2 linked regions of the Xenopus tropicalis genome follow. The protein of the gene in region 2 purifies or fractionates together with the protein of the main gene of each other region. This does not show direct contact. Links are inferred from orthologs where the notes say so. Each region holds a gene or a part of one and is shown on either strand. Other genes may lie near its edges.

What was found. Proteins that work in one complex are often made in the same cells at the same time.
Region 1: the proteins of ambra1 (region 2) and dcaf7 purify together in Homo sapiens (affinity purification with mass spectrometry; 3 studies listed by BioGRID and IntAct, with this or other methods). This does not show direct contact. The link is inferred for Xenopus tropicalis from reciprocal best matches to the Homo sapiens genes AMBRA1 and DCAF7.

The regions. Positions count from the first base shown.
Region 1 is NC_030686.2:16,437,122-16,441,650, forward strand, and holds the start of dcaf7 (DDB1- and CUL4-associated factor 7), read right to left. Parts: upstream 3,139-4,529; 5' UTR 3,066-3,138; coding exon 2,928-3,065; intron 649-2,927; coding exon 490-648; intron 355-489; coding exon 243-354; intron 1-242. Other genes in the region: uncharacterized protein LOC116407961, read left to right, coding at 3,803-4,312. UniProt on the Homo sapiens protein: Involved in craniofacial development. Acts upstream of the EDN1 pathway and is required for formation of the upper jaw equivalent, the palatoquadrate. The activity required for EDN1 pathway function differs between the first and second arches.
Region 2 is NC_030680.2:13,047,334-13,051,400, reverse strand, and holds part of ambra1 (activating molecule in BECN1-regulated autophagy protein 1), read right to left. Parts: coding exon 2,864-4,067; intron 1-2,863. UniProt on the Homo sapiens protein: Substrate-recognition component of a DCX (DDB1-CUL4-X-box) E3 ubiquitin-protein ligase complex involved in cell cycle control and autophagy.

The DNA of each region.
Region 1 (4,529 bases), on a different chromosome or scaffold from region 2:
CCCCATTTTTATGATCTGATCGTTTGGCCCTAGGATCAGTCTGAAATCGCCCACCTGGAGGTGGGCATATTAAGTAAGGTCAGCTTAAAGAAGTTATAGAGTTACTGTATCAAGTTGGTTTATAAGCTCAGAGGCTTGCTCTCAGTGTTAGTTTGGGTGATGTTTTATGAAAATGCATTAAATAACCTTGGATCTACAAGGAACAGAGAACTGTGAAAAAGCAGGCCTTGCTTGTTCCTTACCCAGCAGGTTGGGGTCTACTTCATTCCAATCAAATGAGGTGAGGGGGGCACAGAAATCAGAGTTCTTGTTGTTGTTTAGCAAACACTCCAGACGGGTCTCCGTCTCTCCAACCTTTGATAAAGAGAGAAACAGAATAAGCAACATGACACTTATCAACACTCTAATCTCAAGCGCTAATACTCTGTTGGGTGCCATTATCAATCATTATTCATATTTTGGGCTTGTAGTCGCTGCCTTCGTACTTACCCTCCAGACACGGAGGTAATCCCCGCTGGTGGCTAACAGATCTGGATATACTCCTTTAGTGTCGGGGATCCACATAAGCTTTGTTGTAGGATACGGGTGATCAAATGTGTTTCGGCAAATGAATTCAGAGCTCTCTTCATCCAGTCCTACTAGCTGTACCTAAAAAAAGAAAAAAAAAAAAGAAAGAAAAATCAATTCCTGAATGAAAGATTGGTTAATACAGTGAAATGGTACAAATTAAACCACTCACGTGCAGGACCTGAGCCACTCCTACTTCCTAGCATTACCATTCATACAGCAAACATTTCTGTACAGATATCACCTAAATTTGTGGGATCACCAAACTAGTGGGCTTTTGCTTGATGTGGCCACTCACATGCTTGGCTAAATTGGATTTATTTGATCGTTTGGCCAAACAATTGGACCTGTGGCAACCCATCGGGAGAGGGCCTTATCAACATAACTACACAGCCCTCGCATGACTTCACTTCCTAAAGTGATACTAACAGCAGCAAAAACGCCAAACCTGGAAGCTAGAGATATAAAAATGTTTTAAAACCTCAACAAAACATAAAATGAAGAGTTATCGCCACTTGTCTAAGAATGCAGCTGTCTTAACCATACCCTAAGTTGATAATTAGGTGAAATACACTTAATTTGCGTATTATAAAAGGCTTGGTGTTTATTAACTATGCAATATCCCCCCCCCCCCCCCCCCTACAATACAAAGGAGATAATTTATGTATATGGTATTAAGCTCCTAAAGTCACGGCTGCCAGCAGGGTGGGTACAAAGGTTATTGACCCAGGGGCCCAAGAGATTTGATTGTACAATTCGGGGGGTCAGAGCTTGTGGGTGAGAAGGTGGGTTGGTTGAATTGTGGGTGGGTTTACAGTATTAAGGTGGGACGCAACTGGAGCTGAATCTGGAATGTGCCAATAATCAGGGTGTGTTCATGTTTCCAGGGGCCCCATTTTACTTCTACCTGGAGGGGGGAGGTCCCTGCTATTTAAGGTGGCCACACACGTGACCCGCCACTAAAGGTGGCCATACACGTGGCGATCTGACGATGTTTCGTACGACCATCGGTCGCACGAAACATCGTAAGATCCGCCACACACCATTCAGGGCTGAATCGGCAGGTAAGGAGGTAGAAACAATAGGATTTCTACCTCCTTCTGCCGATTCAGCTCTGAAAGGAGAATTTTGGTCAGGCGCCTTCTATGGCGCCCGATCAAAATTTTCAAACTGGTCCGATCGGCGAGTCGTCCGATATCAGCAGCTTCCTGCGATATCGGTCGACTCGCCGACATGCCATACATGCACCGATTATCGTACGAAACGAGGTTTCGTACGATAATATCGGTGCGTGTATGGCCACCTTAACCGTTCAGGGCTGAAAAGGCAGATAAGGAGGTAGAAACAATAGGATTTCTACCTCCTTCTGCCGATTCAGCCCTGACGTCAGATTTTGCTCAGGCGCCTTCTATGGTGCCCGATCAAAATCTTTTGACCTGGCCGATCGGCGAGTCGACCGATATCAGGAGCCTCCTGCGATACCGGTCGACTCGCCGACTTGCCATACACACACCGAATATCGTACGAAACGAGGTTTCATACAATATTATCGGTGCGTGTATGGCCAGCTTTAGAGGTATGGGGCTCAGGGATTCCTCATTGCAGCCCTGTCTGAAGACAAATGCAGTTTATACAAGCGGAAGCTAACACTGGGCATACACTGATACAAACTACCAACACAGCCCCACCAGACCAAGTCTCGTGTATGGGCCCCACCAACACCTGGCATCTATTTGCCAAACATTTAGTCAGTCATCTATTGGGCACTCCAGAAAAAAAACCATCAGAAGGGGAGCACATTGGATAGATCTACATTTTCATAATCTAATCTTTGTTCCAGGGGCCACAGCGGCAGAGGTTGTCAGACATTTTTAGACCACTGCCCCCCTCCTTCACCAGAAATAATTTATCCCTAAGTCCTGATGTGATTGGCCTTTAAAACTTCATCTCTCAATTGGATTTGGGCCCCAGTTTAAAATCCTACTCTAAAGCAAAACACACAGTCTGTACATGAGTCAGGTCACTGTACACTTACATAGCAATGTATTTATAAGCAGATTGTGTGAGGGTTTTTAAATGACCCTTTAATAGATCTAAATGACAGTTTACTGCTGTAATCTTTATATAATATATATATTATATATATATATATATATATATATATATATATATATACATACACACACACACCAAGCAGATTGAATTCATGTTATATGTGTATCATCTGGATACAACCCACACAGCTGTAACACAGAACTATCCACATTCACTGAGCATTCTGGGAGATGTAGTGCAACTCTACCCAGTTGAAGGAGGGAAGGATAGTTAACCCTTTACACTAAGCGCATACTTCTAGGCACCTTATTGTTATATTCCTCAACAAAGCTCCCCAACGCCAAGCGGAACCTCTTGTCCGGCCTCACACTCCAGTTCATAGCATAGACGGTCCATGGCGCCTCGTACTTATAAATCTCCTTCCTTTTCCCGTGCAGGGACATGGCTGGAGCTGCTTTGCTAACACGGTTACCGGGACACGATCGCCGAAGCCTTTTAGAAGCAGATACGCAGGCGCTTGCTCTCGGCCGCCTCTTATTGGTGCCAAACTACAAGCCAACCAGAACGTCCCCAGAAACAAAACAACGCTCACAGTACAGCGCCGATGATTGGCTCTTTCCAACCCCTTCTCACGCTTTGATTTGTTACTGCTGCAAAAAGGGGAGGGCTTTTCTAACCGAAGAGCTGATTGGGTTATGCCGCTTGTCTAGACTTCATTTCCTGTATGTCTGGTTTCCTGCGCTTTCTGATTGGTGTATAGCAGTCAACATCCTGCAGTAGAGAGAGGCGTGGAACGCAAAGAGTCGCGGTTTATTTTACAGAAACATTCTATTGAACGTACTCCGGATTCTATATTTCAGGTAGTTATCACGTTTTTTTTCTTATACATTTTGGTTGCCTGTAAAAACCTTGGTTTTTGGTCTCTTTTCCTAGTTACAAAAAAACAAGTTCCAGACGACCCGTTGCATAGAAGTTTAGTGTATTTGTGCAGACCTTTATAGTGACTTACATGTATATACAGCTGTATATGTTTTTTTACAAGATTGTGACTACTATGGTTTTCCTGAGCAGGAGTCAGATATAAGTCGCTGTTCTCAATCTATAACTTTAGGCCCTGCAATCTGTCGTTTTTTCAGGATCCAAGTCTGATATCCGCGACATACGCTTGTGGAAGTGCGTCATGCCTCGAACAAAAGAGATTTCTGAACACCTCCGCCAAACTGTTATTGATGCTCACCAGGCTGGGAAAGGCTACAAAACTATTTCTAAAGAGTTGGAACTCCACCGCTCCACTGTCAGGCATATTGTGCACAAATGGAGGCAATTCCATACCGTTGTTTCCCGCCCCAGGAGTGGACGGCCAACAAAGATCACACCAAAAGCAAGACAAGTAATACTCCAGGAAATCGTAAAGGACCCAGGGCTAACATCTAAGGAACTAAAGGCCTCTCTTGCATTGGCCAATGTCAATGTTCATGACTCCACCATCAGGAGAACACTGACCAACATTCGTATGCATGGCTGCGTTGCAAAGAGAAAGAAGCTACCACCCAAAAGGAACATTGTTCCCTGTCTACAATTTGCCGAAAACCATGTGGATACGTCAGAAGTCTGTTGGAAGAGAGTTCTGAGGGCGGATGAGACCAAAAGAAAGCAATTCAAATTCCTTGAAGCTGAAGTGCAGGAATAATGAACAGTTACCCGAAGGGTTTAGTACAGGGGTGGGCAAACTACGGCCCGCGGGCCACATCCGGCCCCTTTGCCTTTTTAATCCGGCCCGCCGACGACGCCAAGTCTCATCACGCGAGACTTGGTGTCATTGGCGTGCCGGAATTAAAGAGACAAAGGGGGCCCGCCCTGGCCCGGTCCGGCCCGGGGGTGAATAAATGTGGCCCGTGAGCCAAAAA
Region 2 (4,067 bases):
GGGTTGATTAAAGCTGCTGATTAGGCCCCGCCAAACCAAGTAAGCTGTTTATTGGCCTTTCCAATAGCCTTAAGATTAATTTGAGATCAGATATCTGAATTTTTGTGATAGGTGCCCTTTAAGAGCCAATTACTTGTAGCAAGGGTCACACACACTGAACCATGCACACGTGGCTTCTCTTTCAGTCTCCTGTCTGATGCACAGCGCAAAGTCCCATATATACCCCAAGATATATACAGATCAAACACATCAGTCAGGTGTTAAGAACCATCAGAACGATAGCTGCTGCAAAAATAGCTCTTAATATCTCTGCATCAGCAAAAGGAAAGATGCTGAGAGCTGCAGTTCTGCGGTATGAGTGCTACAGGTTGCCTGAAGCCCCGCTATAGGGTAAGATATATGAATGTATGTATATGAGCTCACGCTGCACTGTTGGATTCTTACCCTATCCTTCGCCTTTGATTTCATTCTAATTTTATTTAAACCTTGTGAGTCATCGCGGTGTCAAACAGAAGGCATTTGGCTACGGTAGCAATCACCCAATAGAATATCTCAGCTTCCAACGGCAATATCTGAACAAGCCCCAATGACCAACACTGAGTGAGGTCTTCAGTCCGGTCCCCTACACCAGCAAGAGCTTTTAAGGAGAAGGAAAGGTACAATAATTGGGCAAAACGTTAGGCACCCCCCCAGTGATGGTAATCACTTACCCTATACCTTTGGCTGGTGCTCCTGTTAGGAGCAAACCGCACCAGCCCGGGGTAGCCAAAACAAAAAGCCAAACAAAAAAGCCACCATTTTCACTCTATTTCGCAAATGTCAGCCCCAGGATCGGGAAGAAAGAAGACAGGAACAAGAGGATCGCCCATTCGCAGCTACCCAGGTTTTCTCCTAACAGGAGCACCAACAAGGGGTATAAGGGAAGCAATTACAGTCACTGGGGGGTGCCTACCATTTTGGTGCCCCCTCTGTGGGCCGAATCTTGCACCAAATTCTGGATTTGGTGCATCCCTAGAAAAATCAAACCTGCCCAATCAGCATTTGGCCAATTTTAAGCCAGATATCGGACGAGTAGGCCCATCGGGGTCCCTGTACACTGTCAGATAAGCTGTCAAACTGGTCTGCAGAAGCCGAAATCTGCCCTTGTATGGCCACCTTTAGATGATTGGTTGAAGAAGCTTGGGGGGGGTGTCAGATATCACGCTCTCTTAAGGTGGCCATACACGCTAAGATCTTCTCCTTTGGCGAGATCGCCAAGCGAGCGGATCTTCTCCCAATATCTCCGCCTAGGGGTGGGCGATATCGTGCTAATTCGGCCAAGAGATCGAATTAGAACAACAGGTATAGGTGTCCGTCAGGTCGGGGACTGCATCAACAAGCCAATGCGCTCTCCGATTCGACGGATTTTTAAACCTGCAGGATCGAGATCTGCCCGATATCAGGCCAAATGTCAGTCAGGCAGGCCCGTCATTAGTGCCCTTACACGGGCCGATAAGCTGCCGAATCGGTCTAAGGGACCTATATCGGCAGCTAGAATCGGCCCGTGTATGGCCACCTTTAGGACTACCCACGTGTTGCTGCTGCCTGGTTCACTTAATGATCCTGACAACAGCCGTTCTGTAACGAGGCTGCAAAAGCAGTCCCGGGCTAATTGCCGGCTCTGCTTCGGTTGGAAGAAGAACAGTATCCCTTTAAATAAAGGTAGCAATGAAAATCTTGCAGCGTGGGTAAATACTGTCCCAGATTAATTAATTCCATAGATAATCTAATCAACGGAATTCTCATGCTAATTCAGACTGCACAAAGTCAGCATTATGAGCTGTCTAAAGTGATATCTTTCAAAGGGGGGTACCGTCAGGATTTGCTAATTGCAGATCAACTTCATACGGCAGCAGACCATGTAATTCAACTGACAGATGGGTCCCCATGTATGGCTTCACAAAATGATGCCGTGGGGCGGCCTCCTCGTGGGTCTCTGGGAGAAGGAGGGGTTGAAACATATACATTTCCAAAACCCCATATTTTTTTGTTAAGAGGACATACTAGCCTATATGTAAATAGTACAACCCACGGTTGCACGGATATAGCCATGCTACAGGGCTTGGGGTCAGCGACTAAAGCTTGCGTTTCTGGGAAACGTGTTTCCTCGTCCTTGCAGAAATTTCAGATGTCCTAGATAAAATCTCTTCTCCAGAGTGTTGTAGTGGAATCCCCTTGAGTCAGTGGCTGGTCCTGCTCTACAGATGGCTAATTCAGTGCAAAATGGAAAACTGCTACCCTGCAGCGCCACCATGTGGTAAAGAGAAGAACTGTCTTTTTATATAAGTAAATTAGGAGCTTAGGATCTAATTCTAGATCAGTGTTACCTAAAACTTTGCTGCTGTGGCCCATAACAATCCCTTGGAGGGCCACACCTGGCTTAAGCTGGCAATGCACGCACCAATATTATTGCTCGATATTTGGTGCATGTATGGCGGTTCGACAACCAATATTGCAAAAGCTTCAGATATCAGCTGTCTCATCGATCAGGCAAGACAAAAGATTTTGATGCTCCCGAGCAAAATCTGCGCTAAGGGCTGAATTCTCAGGTGGAGGTAGAATCCTTATTGTTTCTACATCCACATCTGGCGATTCAGCCCTGAACGTCAGTGGTGGGAATGAACAATCTTTCCTGAACACAATGGTCCCAGGAAAGGCTGTAATTGGTACATGTATGGCCACTTTATGGGCCTCGAGTGGACAATCCTGAACTAGTTTTGTCTCAAGAAAGGAGTTAACAATGGATTGTTGACACCAGCATCAAAGGCCATTATTTCACATAAAAAACAATTAGCAATGTCCCGCCCCATAACCCCCGTCCTACCTTCTGAGAGAATCCTCCTCTGTGCTCTCCTCCTGCAGATCTTGTGGTAAGGCCTCTTGGGATACATTCGGAGCTCTGCTAACAGATGCTGGCTGGCTGTAGACACGTTCCCAGTGTCCAGTCTCTGGGTTATACACCACGCCTACTGTTCTCTCCTCCTGTGTAGTCCCATTTTCCAGACGGTTACTGCTTGCTGCCATGCTTCCTAGGTCCACTCTCTCCACCCTGGGCGTTCCAGGATGATCTGTGCTGCCAGCGGCGAGACCGGCCTGGAAAGAGCTTGGGGGAGGAATGGGTGGAGGCTGCCAAGTAGAGGTTCCTGCTGTCTCCGGATAAGTTGGGGGTGTCCTTTCCCAGCGCAGTGTGTCGTTGTTGAAGGTCAGCAGGTTGTGGCACGCACGGCAGCGATTAATGTGTCCACGGGGCTGGTTGGAGGTGCTGTCGCCTGAATGAGCTTGTGGGGGTTGATGAGATGGCCCAGGCTGCTCAGGTTCTAAGTTGTTGTTAAGCATCTCGTGAGTCTGTCCCTGTGTTGTTCCCGGTGCTCCTGGCTCCAGTTCATGAAGCCTGTCATACTCGAGGAAGAAGCGTCTCAGGTCACACTGAAGTTCAGTTCGAGTGGTTGTGGGGTGAACAGGTGGTGGAGCGGCAGAGCTGTCAGACTCAGAGCTAGAGAATCCTCTCCCCTCTGTTGCTGAGGTGTATACAGAAGAGGACGTTTCTCCCTCCTGCTGTCGCAGAACAGACAAGATGCTGACAGAAGAGGCACTCGTCCTGGGTGGCGGCATGGGTTCCATCTCCGGTCGAGGTCCCATACTCAGCACAGTGCGAGTCCATTCAGAACCAGCCAAATCAGTGGATGGTTGCTGATAGCGGGAAGGCTGCCCTGTTAGTGACCGGCGGGTAGGCCCCAGGCTCAGGTTACGCAGTGTGTTGCCGGCTGTGCTGCTGTGCACGCTGCTGAAGGCAGAAGGGCGGCTCAGAAGACCATGATCGTGTTGAGCGGAGGACTGGTGCTGCTGCTGCTGCCGTTCCAAGGAGTGCGAGGGTTCTGTCTGCACTGGGGAGAAAGAAGTGGAAGTAACCCCTGAAGAGGTAGAAGGAGCCCCTGGTGCTTCTGGGTGTGGGAAGAGAGGAGAAGACAGCCGTGCACTGGAGCAGCGGATACAGAGGCACAACATACTGGGGTCTTGGCAGCAGGGAG